2 linked regions of the Arabidopsis thaliana genome follow. The protein of the gene in region 2 interacts with the protein of the main gene of each other region in a pairwise test. Each region holds a gene or a part of one and is shown on either strand. Other genes may lie near its edges.

The links. The genes of interacting proteins can lie anywhere in the genome.
Region 1: the proteins of DGK5 (region 2) and ABA2 interact in a two-hybrid assay, tested with the Arabidopsis thaliana proteins (one large-scale study listed by BioGRID).

What each region holds. Positions count from the first base shown.
Region 1 is NC_003070.9:19,489,294-19,495,238, reverse strand, and holds ABA2 (NAD(P)-binding Rossmann-fold superfamily protein), read left to right. Parts: upstream 1-3,588; 5' UTR 3,589-3,711; coding exon 3,712-3,761; intron 3,762-4,434; coding exon 4,435-5,242; 3' UTR 5,243-5,445; downstream 5,446-5,945. Other genes in the region: AT1G52343 (uncharacterized protein), read left to right, coding at 490-1,013; AT1G52342 (uncharacterized protein), read left to right, coding at 2,536-2,799; AT1G52330 (Late embryogenesis abundant (LEA) hydroxyproline-rich glycoprotein family), read right to left, coding at 5,594-5,945. UniProt on the Arabidopsis thaliana protein: Involved in the biosynthesis of abscisic acid. Catalyzes the conversion of xanthoxin to abscisic aldehyde.
Region 2 is NC_003071.7:8,986,715-8,996,664, forward strand, and holds DGK5 (diacylglycerol kinase 5), read right to left. Parts: upstream 6,562-9,950; 5' UTR 6,260-6,561; exon of another isoform or gene 6,137-6,259; 5' UTR 6,085-6,136; coding exon 5,761-6,084; intron 5,684-5,760; coding exon 5,555-5,683; intron 5,462-5,554; coding exon 5,376-5,461; intron 5,283-5,375; coding exon 5,156-5,282; intron 5,057-5,155; coding exon 5,008-5,056; intron 4,798-5,007; coding exon 4,715-4,797; intron 4,605-4,714; coding exon 4,537-4,604; intron 4,476-4,536; exon of another isoform or gene 4,130-4,475; intron 4,090-4,129; coding exon 4,015-4,089; intron 3,828-4,014; coding exon 3,740-3,827; intron 3,617-3,739; coding exon 3,500-3,616; intron 3,410-3,499; coding exon 3,104-3,409; coding exon of another isoform or gene 3,080-3,103; exon of another isoform or gene 2,776-3,079; coding exon 2,698-2,775; 3' UTR 2,561-2,697; downstream 1-2,560. Other genes in the region: ERF53 (Integrase-type DNA-binding superfamily protein), read left to right, coding at 1-349; photosystem II reaction center PSB29 protein, read left to right, coding at 1,069-1,255, 1,367-1,634, 1,726-1,942, 2,111-2,226, 2,357-2,471.

The DNA.
Region 1 (5,945 bases), on a different chromosome or scaffold from region 2:
ACATGACAGTTTGGTTTGCAACAAGATAAAGAGGCTGGGTTCTCTTTTATTTTTTCAGTTTCTGTAACTTTAAAACGATTAAATTTCCGTTGCATTTGATGTAAACACGTTTTTCCGAATAAATTTTACAATTTATTCAAAACAAAAATGAAAAAATTAGTTAATTATGTAACTACATCCATAATTTAAGTTACCAATCACACATAAATAATATTTTTTTGTAGAAAATGTGAAACTATAATTTTTAGTGTTTTAATCAAAGTTACTTTGTAATTTGTATAAATTCATGTTGTGTTTCACATATGGCGTATTTAAAACTTTAGAATTAAATTTTAAGAGAAAGGTACTATTTGATATTTTCACATATAGACGCTTATTATATGCTAATTTTCATGTATTAATTGATTGCACAATATGCGAGTGAAACATTCAAGACTTGAAATTGAATCGTAATGATTTTTGTCTCTGACATGACATGCATGAATGCAGAGGAAGTAAAGGCAAGATCAGAAGAACCAAAACTCTCGACTGTTCTTCACAAACCCTTGAAAATTGAACCAACAAAACAAGAAGAAGCAACAAGATCACAAAAGAGTCAAAATCAACGACCTATATGTTTCTTCAGCTCCAAGAAACTCAATGCTAGCATCATTAGCTCAGAAAGAACTCGGAGTTTAAGCTCTCTCACAATAGCCGCATTTGTGGTTTTACTCCCGAGATTGAACATTACAAGCTCAAACACTATCTTAGCTTTGAGACCTCTTTGGTTGCTTATTCTTACAGATTGTGCCATAGTAATGTCTCATCTCACTACGGAAGCTTCTGGAGGAGGATTGAGCCATGAGATGGAAGAAGATGGAAAGGGAAGAGATGGTAATAATGGAGAAAACTGGTCTGATGCAGAGAGGCTTCTAGAAAGAGGAGTTGTTGTGTATCAAGCTCTTCGTGGAATGTTCATAGATTGTAGTCTTTATATGGTTGTTGTTGTTATTTTTGGAGCCTCTCTTTTTTAAGTTTGTTTGTTTTCTGATTGTTATTATCTAATTACGATTTTGTTTGCCTTGATGCTCTTTCGTTACAGAAATTTTTTATTTGAACTAGTAAATTTTTATATCAATCCGCTCACATTTTTTTGGAAACTAAATTAATATACCTTCTCTACTTCCATTCCAATGTTTTGGAGTTTTTTACAAAGATTAGGGAGGCTTATTGCGAGCAGGATATTTTATAGTTTTAATTTTTGTAAGAATCCACTGTTTATAGGTTAACGAATTCCAAATTCTTAGTAAAATCCATTGTTATTAGTTTGAAGACTTTGAAATTCCTTTCTAAAATCTCTAGTTATTCAAAAAAGTTAGTTACCATTGATTATCTAATTAATTCTTTCAAATATCAAATGTTATTGGAATATGGATTCTGTACGTCTCAATTATTTAGTACAAAAGTCATATTGTGCATGCATTCATATTGGCTTTTTTTATTTCTTTCTTATTTTTAATAGGTCTACTAAGAAGTAATAATATCAAGATCAGAAGAATCATATCCAAAAGTAAGAAAAAGTAGGCCAAAACTTTCAAAAGAATCATATCCAAAACTAAGAAAATATAAATATATCTAGTCCTTTTAATCTTGATATAAATGAAATACAATACAAACGTAAAGTTATTCAAATCTTACAAATTTTGGTGTTTTATGAAAAATCATTTTGTAACGAAGAAATCTTGAACTTTTAATTCATAATCTCTCTGGATTTAGGATCAACCATTAGTAGGAGATGTTACGTAAAACAGTCTTTTGCACATTCTTGGTTTGATAAATAACATATTTAAACTAATAACGTTTCAAATGATTCAATCGCGATATTTTTCTAACTATAAGATAGTTTTAGTTGTTGTGAATTTCTGATTGATATATGACCTCAAAAGTAGTAAGTTTATCTAAAGAAGATGAGTGACAATGGGAAGCCCAAAGAGAAAGGAAGTGATGTCGTAATCGGCCCACTCCCACCGCTTATCCTCTCCAATCACTTCATTTTCTCTTTACCATATAAAATCTCCAAACCAATTTGTTTCATCCAAAGAGTTATGGTCCACCATCCACATCTTTCGCAAGAAAAAACTTGCTTTAATAATATTCTTTTCTTTCTTTAGCTAATTAAAATCCATAACAATATTTCTCTCGTCATCAAATTATTTCCTTAAAAATTTATAAGATCGGATATACACTAGAACAAATTTCTGACCTCATGGTTTCTTTCTGAACACAAATCTCTAGACGTGCATCAAAACCATTAGCCACGTGTGACGTTTCGAAACTTTGTTTGGCGACATCTCTTCTACGAAACACCTAAAAGATAAATATGTAACTAAAATAATTTAATTTCCAAAAGAGTGACTAACATCTTTTTCTTTTTTATTTTTGTTATCAAGAGTGACGAGTATTTATACTCGACTTTTCTTTTGGTAAACCACACACACAAAATCTTAAATAAGAAGAATCTTTTAAATTTTTGTGTTGAGTGTGAAACAAAAAAATATGTGTTACAAAATTCTTCTACCTCTTGTTATTCCTCCGGAGAGCTTCCACGAAAATACTCCGGTGGCAGAAGTGACGGTGGCAACAGATGTGGAAGCCACCGCTGGTCACCGTAGCGGTGGTGACGGTGGCGGTGGAAAGAAGAAGTGTGTGTGTTCACCGTCGAAGCATCCAAGATCGTTCAAGTGTAGGTATCATCAACATGAATATCAATGGCTTCCTTCTTCTTCTTCTTCTTCTTCTTCTTCATCCCTCCACAAATAACACATATCATCAATTCATCATGTAAACAATAATTATATTTTTATTATTCATGGTTATTTTGATTCGTTAAGTATTTCAATCAAAGTAGAAATTGTGTTGTGGTTCTTGTTTTTCTTAAAATGCTTATTCGTCAGAATCTTTATATAACGATGTTGTTTCATCTCAAAGTACTAAATATCGGCAGCAATAATCTTTTTAAAGGAATACGTGGTTACTGTGATTTCTGTATAACTTATTAGCTTTTTCGCTTAAAAACGGTTCATAAAAAAATGATGTTACGTGTCGTGACTAATTAATCAACCGTATGAGACTATACTTCTTCACAATTATTTACGCATTTTCATATGGTTTTGGAGTTTCAATTTTCGAGATACAACTTTCACTAGAGAAATATCGGAAAACATAAATTACATTTGTGAAAATTCGTAGAAACACATGTGCGAAGATCAATCATGACCCATGAATGAATGTAATCGATCTCACGGATGATCTACAGAAAGTGAAACCACAAATAACCCAACACTATACTGTAATTCTGTATCATGGACGGTTTGATACGGTTTGGATTTCGGTTCGATTACGAATCATAATTGTATCCTTAATTTTCTAAATCGGATCGGTTTGGTTTGGTGCAAATTGGATCGGTCTAACTTAACGTCTCTAAAATCCGCAAAATGTGCTTATAGTCAAATCCGTTAGTCTTTTATTGGGCTTACAATTTAAGGCCCATAAAAACCCAATGACGAAGCAGGACTTGCTTTTTGATAGCCGTATAGAGACCGACACCAAATAGCCGAGAAACAACGCAAACTCCGATTGAGAGGTGTTTGCATGATTCCTGAGCTTGTCTGTGTCAATAGTGAGGCACTACATCGAGGAATAAGAAAGAAGATCTAAGGAGCTAAAGCTATTATGTCAACGAACACTGAATCTTCTTCTTATTCTTCTCTTCCTAGTCAAAGGTATAAGCTTTCTCCAACTTTTTCCTCTGATCCAACTCTTTTTGTTTGATCTTCGTTTACTTTACCTTTTTTTCCTTCTTGGGTCATTCTAAATACTGAAATTTTGTTCTTTGAGGGTCAAATTAACAGTTGATAATCAGACCATGGAGTTTTTTCAGTTTCATGAGTGTCTTTGCTCTGCTCACGACAGATTTGAGATCTAGTCATGGTTCTGTTTGATTTATTGATGTCAAATCTTGAAATGTTTATGATCTCTAGGTTTCAGTCTCTTTGCTTTTTATTATGATCTTCAAACATTTGGATTAGTTTTATCAGTTCTGATTCAATAAACTAGTGATATACATTTGGCTTTTGTTTACAAATCTCTCAACTTCAGATTTGTTATTTTGTGTCCCATTTGATTCATCTTTACCTCCTTTGCACGTTCTGTTTCAAAACTGGATTTGTGGTCCTTTCTTTTCACCATTGTAGTTTTGTGGCCCAGATCTTTTTTTTTTTATTTTGTGGCCCAGATCAATTTATGAATAAAGTTCTTTTTTTTTCTGTTGCATTTTCTTTCACTGGTCTTAAGTTTGATGTAACATCTCAACCTTATTATTAGGAGACTATGGTGCGATTGGTTTAATCCAATTTAATTACTTGCTTTTAATCTCTTGTGTTCTTGATGTGACAGGCTTTTGGGTAAAGTGGCATTGATCACTGGAGGAGCCACAGGGATAGGTGAGAGCATTGTTCGTCTGTTCCACAAGCACGGTGCCAAAGTCTGCATTGTTGATCTGCAAGATGATCTCGGAGGTGAGGTGTGTAAAAGTCTGCTTCGTGGTGAGTCCAAGGAGACGGCTTTTTTCATCCATGGCGATGTTAGAGTGGAAGATGACATTAGCAATGCGGTTGACTTTGCAGTCAAAAATTTTGGGACGCTTGATATACTTATCAACAATGCAGGATTATGTGGAGCACCGTGCCCTGATATTCGTAATTATAGTTTGAGTGAGTTCGAGATGACCTTTGATGTGAATGTGAAAGGAGCTTTTCTAAGCATGAAACATGCAGCTCGTGTAATGATACCGGAGAAGAAAGGGTCGATAGTTTCCTTATGTAGTGTGGGAGGTGTTGTGGGAGGCGTTGGTCCACATTCTTATGTTGGTTCCAAGCATGCTGTTCTAGGCTTGACTAGGAGTGTTGCAGCGGAGCTTGGACAGCACGGGATACGTGTGAACTGTGTTTCGCCTTACGCGGTTGCAACTAAACTCGCTTTGGCTCATTTGCCGGAGGAAGAAAGAACGGAGGATGCATTTGTTGGTTTCAGGAATTTTGCTGCTGCAAACGCGAATCTAAAAGGGGTGGAACTGACGGTTGATGATGTAGCGAACGCTGTTCTGTTTTTGGCTAGCGATGACTCGCGGTACATAAGCGGAGATAATTTGATGATTGATGGAGGATTCACTTGCACTAACCACTCCTTTAAAGTCTTCAGATGATGCATTTTGCTAAAGAATGTTGTTTAATGTTTATTGTCCGCCAATTTATCATGTCTATCAAATAATTTAACTGTGGAGCTTATTGTGGTTTTAATTGTTACTTTTAGCATTGTAGAAATGTTTGATGTTAACTACATTTCTTACTGGTAGACATTGAACAAAATCAGATTCTCATAATGATTAAAAAGATTGAGTAGCAAAAATATCATAATGATGTATTGATGTTTCTTGAATTAGAGAGGACTACAACTTTGACGAGAAATTGTCTGATTAACAGTATCTACTAGAATCCCACATGCCACTTTTGCCTGTTCATCAAGATAATTATAAAACAAAATTCCATTAATCTGATTAGAAACTGCATACATTTTCTATGATTATATAATCTAGAAAGTCAAATTCAAATGATGAGAAAGTATAAAGTTTGATAAACCAAATAATTGAGTAAAAACTCAAGTTCCTTACCTTTAAAGGGAAACGGAAGAACAAAACGCCAAGTTTCCCGTTAGTCTCCGTAACGGTGTCAAATTCAACGGAGCCTTTAGCTAAATCGTGAATCAAATGAATGACGTCAGGAAACACCATGACGCCGTCAAGCTCAGCCTCCGCGTCAAGGTAAGAAGAACCAAAAGCCGTCACGTGCCCGCCATCAGAACTCACGTGACCTAACGTCTTCCCTCTATAGTCAATCGTGACGTCAAGA
Region 2 (9,950 bases):
AGCCGCCATGGCCTACGACCGCGAGGCCTTCAAGTTGAGGGGAGAGACCGCTAGGCTCAATTTCCCTGAACTTTTTCTCAATAAACAAGAGCCAACTCCCGTGCATCAGAAACAATGTGAGACGGGGACTACTAGTGAAGACTCAAGCAGAAGAGGAGAGGATGATTCGAGCACGGCATTGGCAGTAGGAGGGGTGAGTGAGGAGACGGGTTGGGCTGAGGCATGGTTCAATGCAATTCCAGAGGAATGGGGACCTGGAAGCCCTCTATGGGATGATTACCACTTTCCCATTTCTAACCATAAGGACGATCTTGACGCCACACAAAACTCTTCTTCTGATACAATTTAGGACCTTTGTTAGAATATAGATATGCTTAGTTGTATGACTGATCTAGCTTGTGTTTTTTTTTTGGGTGGAGACAGTTTTTGTCATCTTCCACATTTTAGATTCTATTTTCGACCATCATTTTTTTCTTGATCGGTGACTATGAATCTAATGGGGTCAATCATTTTCACATATAAAACTTAAGTATTTGGTGTTTGTACTTCATCAGTTCATCTTATTCCATAGAAAGAGAGTGAGAAGTGATCAATAACCCTTTTAACTGAAAAAAAGAAGAAGATCAAAACCTAAATAAGATTTAAGTACATATGTCTAATTCGACGTAAGACATTTTTGGAAACGATCAATGTACTAACGAGTTGAATTCTGATGAATCTTGAGCATGAATAAACGGACTTTGTAGTTTGTACAATTGATAATGAAACAGAGAGCAACATTATGTACATGTGATATATGCTGCATTTATTTATGGGCTTTTATTAGATGGACCGAGCTCTAGCAAAATCCAAAGTAAATGGGCCTAATCCTAACGTGGACAGACAAGGGACACGTGTCACACTACCGACATCTCGTGGAGTTGGATAAGCCACTCGAAAGTCGAAACTCAGAAGATCCAACCAGAGCCATCATCATCCTTCCAATGGCTATTACTTGAGAACTCTTCTGATTAAACATAGCAACAACAACAACTCTTCTTCTCCTCTCTTTCTCACTTCAATTTAGCGATGGCTGCAACTGCAATCTCTTCTCTTTCCTTCCCAGCTTTGGGTCAATCGGACAAGATCTCCAATTTCGCATCTTCTCGTCCTCTCGCCTCCGCAATTCGCATCTGCACAAAGTTTTCTCGCCTTTCTTTGAATTCGCGTTCCACTTCGAAATCTCTTATTCACTGCATGTCCAATGTTACCGCCGGTGACTCTTCTTGAACTTCACATTGCATTTCACAATTCATTCTCCTTTGTTTTGTATTGAAAAAGGCTCTGACTTTATCTGCATTCACTCTCTTGTGGTTTTGTTGGTCAGATGTGCCTCCTGTATCAGAGACAAAGTCGAAATTCCTAAAAGCTTACAAGCGACCCATCCCGAGTATCTACAACACGGTTTTGCAGGAGCTCATTGTCCAGCAGCATTTGATGAGGTATAAGAAGACTTATCGTTATGATCCTGTTTTTGCCCTTGGATTTGTCACTGTATATGATCAGCTCATGGAAGGATATCCGAGTGATCAAGACCGAGATGCCATTTTTAAGGCTTACATTGAAGCCTTGAATGAGGATCCTAAGCAATACCGGTTTGCTTCTTCCTGCTTCCATCTTCTCCTTGATAATGAATGTCTTCTTGTTGAATGTCTTTTTCTAAAGATGATAACTTTTTTTGTACAGAATTGATGCTCAGAAGATGGAGGAATGGGCACGAAGTCAGACTTCTGCTTCACTAGTTGACTTTTCCTCTAAAGAAGGAGATATTGAAGCAGTTCTTAAGGACATTGCAGGAAGAGCTGGTAGTAAGGAGGGGTTTAGTTACAGCAGGTTCTTCGCTGTTGGGCTCTTTCGTTTGCTTGAGCTTGCAAGTGCTACTGATCCAACTGTCTTGGACAAGGTGATTCTATTCGTCTTCGGTTTGCTAATCTATATTAACAGCTTAATCTTGTGTTTAGAGGAAGAAGAAATGTTGCTAGTTTTGTATCCATTATGTTCACTGGCAATGTGCAACTGTATTCTCTCTGACATCTCACGGTAATTTTGATCTTTGTGTCTCATGAAACAGCTTTGTGCATCCCTAAATATCAACAAGAAAAGCGTGGATCGGGACCTGGATGTGTATCGTAACCTGCTTTCAAAGCTTGTCCAAGCCAAGGAATTGCTTAAGGAGTATGTCGAGAGGTACTGATACTGAATCCCTATCTAAATAGACTAGGCACTGGTCTATTTTTGAATGAATATACGGTGCTTGCTGCACCATGAAACTTCTATATAGAGCCTAACTTGGATCTTTATACTTTTGGTTACTCAGGGAGAAGAAGAAGCAAGGAGAAAGAGCCCAATCTCAGAAGGCTAACGAAACAATCTCCAAGTGTCTGGGAGATACTCTATATAACCCATCTTTCTTGGTTGAACGGAAATCTTAGAAAATCATTTGTGACTTCTTTTTTTGTTTTCTTAGCAACAACTATGCCCAAGAACATATATATCTCATTTCTAAGAACATTTCAGACGTGTATATGTTTGCTTTTTTTCCTTTCAATTACATGAGTTTACATAATGTTGATTCATGTAGTATTTTATACATTGATGAGGTTACTGTTGTGCTGTTACTAGTATATGACAAGTTTCTTTAAGATTTAGGCACTGTCTTCAGAGCACATGTGACCAACCATGAACATTTGAATTTCTCCTCCTTGAAGCCCTTCCTTTTTTATTACTGTGTTCTCCCTATAAAAAAAAGGTCAGATTCTATGTTTAGGAGTTGCAACATCTGAAAGTTTCGCATTTGGCGTCTCTGCACTGTCCTGCTAACTGCTGCAGTACATGTGCGTTAAACGAGAATCTGTGTTGCTATAAATCCAGATACATTATCTCGGCCATTAAACGTGAACAACCAAACAAAAGCAAAGAAAAAAGATGGTTACCAATCTAAACCAGTTGCTGCTAGTTGGCTCCTTTATGAAAGAGTGAATAAAAAAATTGGAGTCCGGAGGAAGAATGCATAGAATCAACAATGAAAATGGTTAATTGTCTAACTAAGTTGAGAAATATCAACCTCATCAGGAATCTTGAAGGTATCCGCAGCACCAAACTTTCTAAATTCTTCGCCTTCAGCCACTGAGTCGTCTTCATTATCATCATAATCTTCTGCACCATCCTGATGGCGGGGTGTTGAAGGGTCAAACACACTTCTGGACCGGCAGTCATGAGTTGCAAGCATGTTCACTTGGCCAAGGTGTGAAATCTCTACCATCACAGTTTCATCATCCAGTGGCAGTGGCTGTTTCCAGGGCTCCCCATCCATCCTCATGAATGTATGGTCGGTTGCACCTTTGTGAAATTCGAAGCGAATACGATTTGCCTAATCACAGAAGTTATCATTTGTATGCACTCAATCATCACATCTTTATTTGTGTGTATCGTTATCATTTCCAACTTGTACAATTCTTACCTGGGCAAGTCGTGTCCCATGTCCATTGGGAGCGAGCAGAACAAGACCATGCCAAGCATTTCTAAACCCAACAACCTCAATGAGGCCATCATCTACAAATGGTGGAGTCAAGCCTCTCTGTTTGTGTCACAACAAAGAAAAATGCATATTATTTTACCATGGCGAAGATAAATACACAAACGAGGATATATCAGAAACTTATGTAGCACTCAGGCAATGTCAAGAGTTCGTAAAACCTACATCACGTTGTTTCCTGGGATTTGGTGTGCCCCAAGGATTTAATCCTCCCGAAAAGCTGGGCAGATTCAGACATACAATGGACCTGATGCTGCAAGAGTAGAAACAAATGTCCGAATTGGAGTAGTTCATATTCGATCATGTAACCATTGCTTTGTAACATTTGAAATGTAACCATATATAGTTAAAGGTTACAAACAGAGAAAGATCCCAAGACTATCCAACATGTCCATCCTGAACTGTGTCCAATGGGATCCCTCAGGATTAATAAAAATTACCTATGTGGTATGTGGAGGTCCTGCCACTGGCCATTTCTAGTTGCAATCTTAACCTTGGCAAGCTGAGCTATATTCCTGCATTGGAAGCCATAGAGCTTTCCTTAACATTGTGATAGAGAGCAAAATCATATATAAACAGAAATTAAATTACAGCCAAAAGACAGGAAATGTAAGAAATGTGAACCACTTAACCGAGAATATAAAACCAGCATAAGATTACATGTTTCGATATTGATGTTGGAGAGTATTTCAAATTTGATGTTGTTTAGCACACAACGAGACCCAAGCAGTAAAAAGAACAAATGCTGAAAATAATGATGGGTACCAAATTTCTAATTACTGACACTAGAACAGTATACTAAAGACAAAAGATAAGGCAGTAGTGTTGCAGAGCATTATAATCATTCATGTCCAAGAATCTCAGAAAGAGAAAAACAGTGAATGAGAATGAGAAGTTGAGGGGGACCTGAGACTCAGAAACAGAAAACAATGAAACGAAAAGTATGTCTACATCTTACACACCGTGAAGCAGGGTGGAAAAGAGAGGCACAAAACCATCCTTGCGTGCAACCAAGCTTTACATACGTACTCTGGCATTGTAAAGCAAAATGCAAAGTATTTATTCTTTGTTTAGTATAAATCCCAGTGAAGGGGTATTAAAAGAGAAGGTGTAATCTAAAAGGTCAAATTCAAAAGGTACCTGATTAACCAGCTGATTCTTAAACTTTTCAGGGTGAAGCTTCCTCTCAGAATGAAACGCATAAGAAATCTGAGCATCCATTCCTTCATAAGCACAATAGAAAGAAGAACTTTCAAGGAGATTTGTCTTTCAAGGATATCAGCTGGTTTCGTTTATTTAATTTCAATACAAACAATGCAATAACTAGATTGAAACTCAATAAGTTAGCTCATCAACCAACTCCTAAGGGGAAATCTAACTTTGCTAATGACTTGTGGGAAATCCAAAGTTAGATTGAAGCTAAAATATCTCACCGAGGCTAAAGTAATTCCAGAACCCTCCTCGAAAAGTGTGGCAGCCTTCCTGAAAAACATAAAGGGTGTGTTTCTATATAAGATAAGACAGAAAAAAAAGGAAGAGACACAGCTATATAATAATAATGGGAAGAAGAAGGTAAATCACCTTGTTTAGTTCATCAGTTGGAGAAACACGGTGAAATGCATGTAGAGAATGTGGTAACTCAAGAGGAGCAACAGGATCACAAGAACCACCTTCTTTGGGAGTTTTCATCCTCATAAGTATGTGCCAACTTGAAGCAGCAGATAGATAGTCGTCTGTTAGTTATTCACCAAAAGTAAAGACTAATAAAAACTACTGTGGAGACAGATATGTAAAACATTACTTGTCAATCTTCATCACTTTTGCCTTCAACACTTGTTCCAAAAACGACTCCACTGCAGTCCTATCTGTTCCTGGATTCTTCTTTCCCTGTAGAGAGATACATACACTTAATAATAATAATAAAACATATGCAGGCAAGTGTATTGAGAGGAGGAGTGTAGTAGTAAGTAAGACACACACCCATCCAAAAGCAAAGGGAAGGTTGTTTCCTGTACCCAAAGGTACAGTGGCAATTGGAGGAGGATGTGACAATTTAAGGTCACATACAACTCCAAGGAGCCACCCAGCAGTGCCATCACCTCCTGCAACCTAATAATAATGGATGGCATTAGATGATGTTTCATTCAATTGGAGAGAAAGAAACAAAGAAAACAACATTCTCTTACAATGATTTTTAATTTCTCCCGAATCTGACGAGCGAAATCATCATCTTTGAGCCTCTCCAGGTTAAGATAGATTCTGCGGAGCACTTTATCTGGAGTCTCCTGGTCGAGATCAAAGACCTGATTGTGATTGAGAAGAGATCGGTAGGTGAGAATGAGTTCGCCACCCAACTGACCACCGCTTTTGGAGTTGATGAAGACAAGGACGGGGCTCGCAGGTGTAGGACGACTCTCCTCCTCCTCCTCCTCTTCTGTTTCCGCCGAGAGGACGTACGTAGGGATGTAGAACTCCTTGAGAAAATCTGATAAACTGTTGTATTTCTCCATTGTCGCGCAACAATTTTGGTAGAAGAAGACGATGATCAAGAGGAATCGGGATCTGAGAAAGTGAAATTACTTTATATAGTAAATAAGAAAATATACTTGTCTTTCAATAAACGTACAATTCGAAGAAGAAGAATGAAGAAAGAGATTCATCGAATAAAGGAGGAAAGTTCCACACCTGCGAGATTCTTGGCGGCTACGGAGCAGTTGGCCCCTTTTTCTGACGCGGACTCGGTCATGTGCTGCGTTTGCATTGTTTGATCCAAAATTATAGTGGTCATGAATGTTTAGCTTTACTTTTAAATTTACTAGGTGCTATTGAATTTTGTATTTCTATACATTTGAATGTATTTTGATATCAAGGTCATGAATGGTTGGCAGATTTTGAGTGATTTTTAAGATTATGGCCGTCTCATTGGTAATCACGTTTAAACGAGGCTGTTAAATTTTTTATAGCACTTGTAGAGAAGGCGGTCAAAGATAGCCAATGAAAACGTGAGTATGGTAAAACAGAGCAATTAAGAATTTATAACAAGAATTTTTTGGCGGGTGGGGTAAAATGCTGTCGGATTCTATGGATGCTCCATCCGTTTGTATTTATTGTTCATAGAAAATTTAAAAGGTCAGTTCAAATTGTTTCCGACTCATACACGGAATATTCTATATTTAATAATAAATTAATAATATTTATTATTAGAAGATTTAAAATTATGATTCTCTTATCATATTTGTTTGATTTTAAAACTGTTTTGAATAATTATATAATACATAAAGTAACAAAAAAAAAAAAATCTTTTACTTTATATTGTAATTTAAATTTTAGAAAACATACATATTACCTAATATTATCTAATTAACGAAAATGTGTGTTTAACATTTCAAATCGACTAAAATATTTAGATAATGATTCAAAATCATATTATAAATTAAAAATATTCAGAAAATTTTGAAGGCAATTTTTTCAGAAGAACAAATAGTCATCAGTGACGACCAATTTACATTTCTTATTATCTTGTCCTCTTTACAATTGACTATCATCAGTTTAATAATAAGCATGTCGATGTTATGTATGTTCTTGGAATTACTTATCTCTGGAATTATTATTATTATTATTAGATAGATATATCATCGCAATTGAAGCAGTATTCGAGGATCAGCAACAGCTCAAGTCTCCAAGGTTCTTTTAATTTTAGTTTATTTGATAAATAAAGGATACAAGAATGTTCAAAAGAATAGCCGGCGATTGGGTCAGTCACCTTTTATTGGGAAAGGACAGAGAGGTGCAAACCAAAGCGCAAAGGAGCAAAACAAAAAGAGATGCAATTTGGAGAAGAAGCATGGGATGATCGATCAATTGGTGGAGTCTCGGCTATAGAACTGGTCGAGGGTTTTTGCCGGTATGCGGTGAAGCAACTCACGGGAGAAGATCCTGAGGAGTGTCCAGGCCAGGTCTAACGACTGGAAGATGTTACGTGTATCATAAGCTCCTTGTACCACAAACTTCCTCTCGAATTTGTCCAAGAACTCCAGATACAGCTGTTGCATGCATGCATCCCCAAGTTTTTATTGTCAGTGTGAGTGACAAAGAAACGCTTAGAGTTTATTCATTATTTAACATGGCATTTAGAAAGACAGAGATAGAGAGACCAGATCCTCGGACGAGAGTGCTTCTTCTCCAACCACGGCTTTCATTGCTTGTACGTCCTTTCCAATTGCATAGTTCACATACAGCTGATTAGAAACATCAGAGTGGTCTCTGCGAGTCATCCCCTCACCAATGGCACTCTGCACAGCACACCTGAGTGATCTCTACCAAATAGAGATACCTTCCTCCAGTCCAAAATCTACAAGACTTTACTTTACCTTCATGAGCCGAGATAGAGAAGGAAGGACATTGATCGGTGGGTTTATCTATGGAATACAAACACAAGGTGTATTTAGCCCACAACTCTCTCGAGGAAAATAATTTTATCTTCCGCGCAACATTTGTACCTATCTATTGTGAAGTTGCCTGTCGATGTAGATTTGTCCTTCTGTGATGTATCCTGTAAGATCTGGTGTGGGATGTGTGATATCTGATCAACGAAGAAGGATGGATATTAGAAATCTCAGACATCAAAAGATTACTACAAAACATATATATATATATATATATATACACCTACAACCAGAGAAACGACTAGGAAGAAGTTACCATCGTTTGGCATAGTTAAAATCGGGATCTGAGTGATGGAACCTTTTCTCCCCTCAATTCGTCCAGCTCTCTCGTATATGGTGGCCAAGTCAGTGTACATGTAACCTGGGTATCCACGCCTACCGGGTACTTCTTCACGGGCAGCAGAAACCTAGTGCAATTATCAACGTTAACCACTAAATTAAGCCTTGAAAAAAACAGAAGAAATGCCTATATCGGTTTTTTCACCTCACGAAGAGCATCAGCATAAGAGCTCATGTCTGTAAGAATAACAAGGACATGCTTGCCACATTCATATGCCAAATACTCAGCCGTTGTGAGAGCAATACGAGGAGTGATGATACGTTCAATAGTGGGGTCGTTTGCCTGAAGTCAAGGAAACATTAGAGCTGCTATATCTTTTCAAGGCATCTACATCTTAATTGAGATACTTGCCAAGTTAAGGAAAAGTGTCACTCTCTCCATCGAACCATTCTCTTCAAAATCACGTTTAAAAAACTGTGCAGTCTCCATGTTTACACCCATGGCTGCAAACACAATGGCAAAGTTATCATCTTCCTGGTCCTGCAAATTCACAAACAAAGGTGATACACGTTAGTGTCAATACTGAAAAGAATAGCGTTACACATGTACAGCTTTTGCGTAGAGTTACAAATGAGTGACGATGTCATATAATCGTCTGCGTAGTCATATTTTATCAGCGGGAAAAGCAATACCTGAAGAAGATTATGTGACTTCTCTAAACGCTTAACCAAACCAGCCTGGCGATAGATCTGAGCAGCGATTTCATTGTGAAGGAGACCGGCGGCAGAAAAGAGGGGAATTTTCTGTCCTCTAGCAATGGAGTTCATGACATCAATGGTTGAAATGCCAGTCTGAATCATCTCTTCAGGATAGGTTCTCTCACTAGGATTGATGGAACTTCCTGGAGAGACCAAAGATCAGAAGCCTCTTTAGTGAGAGGGAAAAGAATGCGTCAAGAGGAGGCTAAAGTGAGTGCTCACCAGAAATATCCAAGTAAGCCTCTGGCAATATAGGTGGACCATTGTCAATAGGCTTCCCTGAACCATTAAAGATACGGCCAAGCATATCCAATGAGACAAGGGTTTTTAAAACCTATATTGGCAAAAGTGAGTGAGTAAACCAAATATATCACGCAACAAGAGAAGAGAGTAGTAACATACCTCCCCTGTAAATTGAACGGTGGTGTACTTGTTGTCAATTCCAGATGTTCCCTCAAAGACCTAGACAAGCACCACAGTACTATAAAGAAAAGGCCGTGTTGCATTATTTTGAATGAGGAAAATAATAGTTGGAAACCTGAACAACAGCCTTCTCGCCATCAACTTCAAGAACTTGACCACGTCGAGTAGTTCCATCCCCAAGATGTATGTTGACTATTTCTTGGTATTTAGGTCCCTGGGAATCCCAATAAATCAATAATAATGCATCAAGAAAACAAGACATAGAACAATTTCTTGGTAAATATACCTTAACTTTCTCAAGGATAACAAGAGGTCCAGCAACACCAGAGACTGTTCTATACTCTGCAGATGAAATATATATCAAAAAGAAGAGGAAGAAGATTTAGCATCCTCCTACATTGCAATGAATGAATGTATTCAACAACCAAATAGTTGTTTACCCATTCCGATCTCCAGGGCACCTTCCTCCA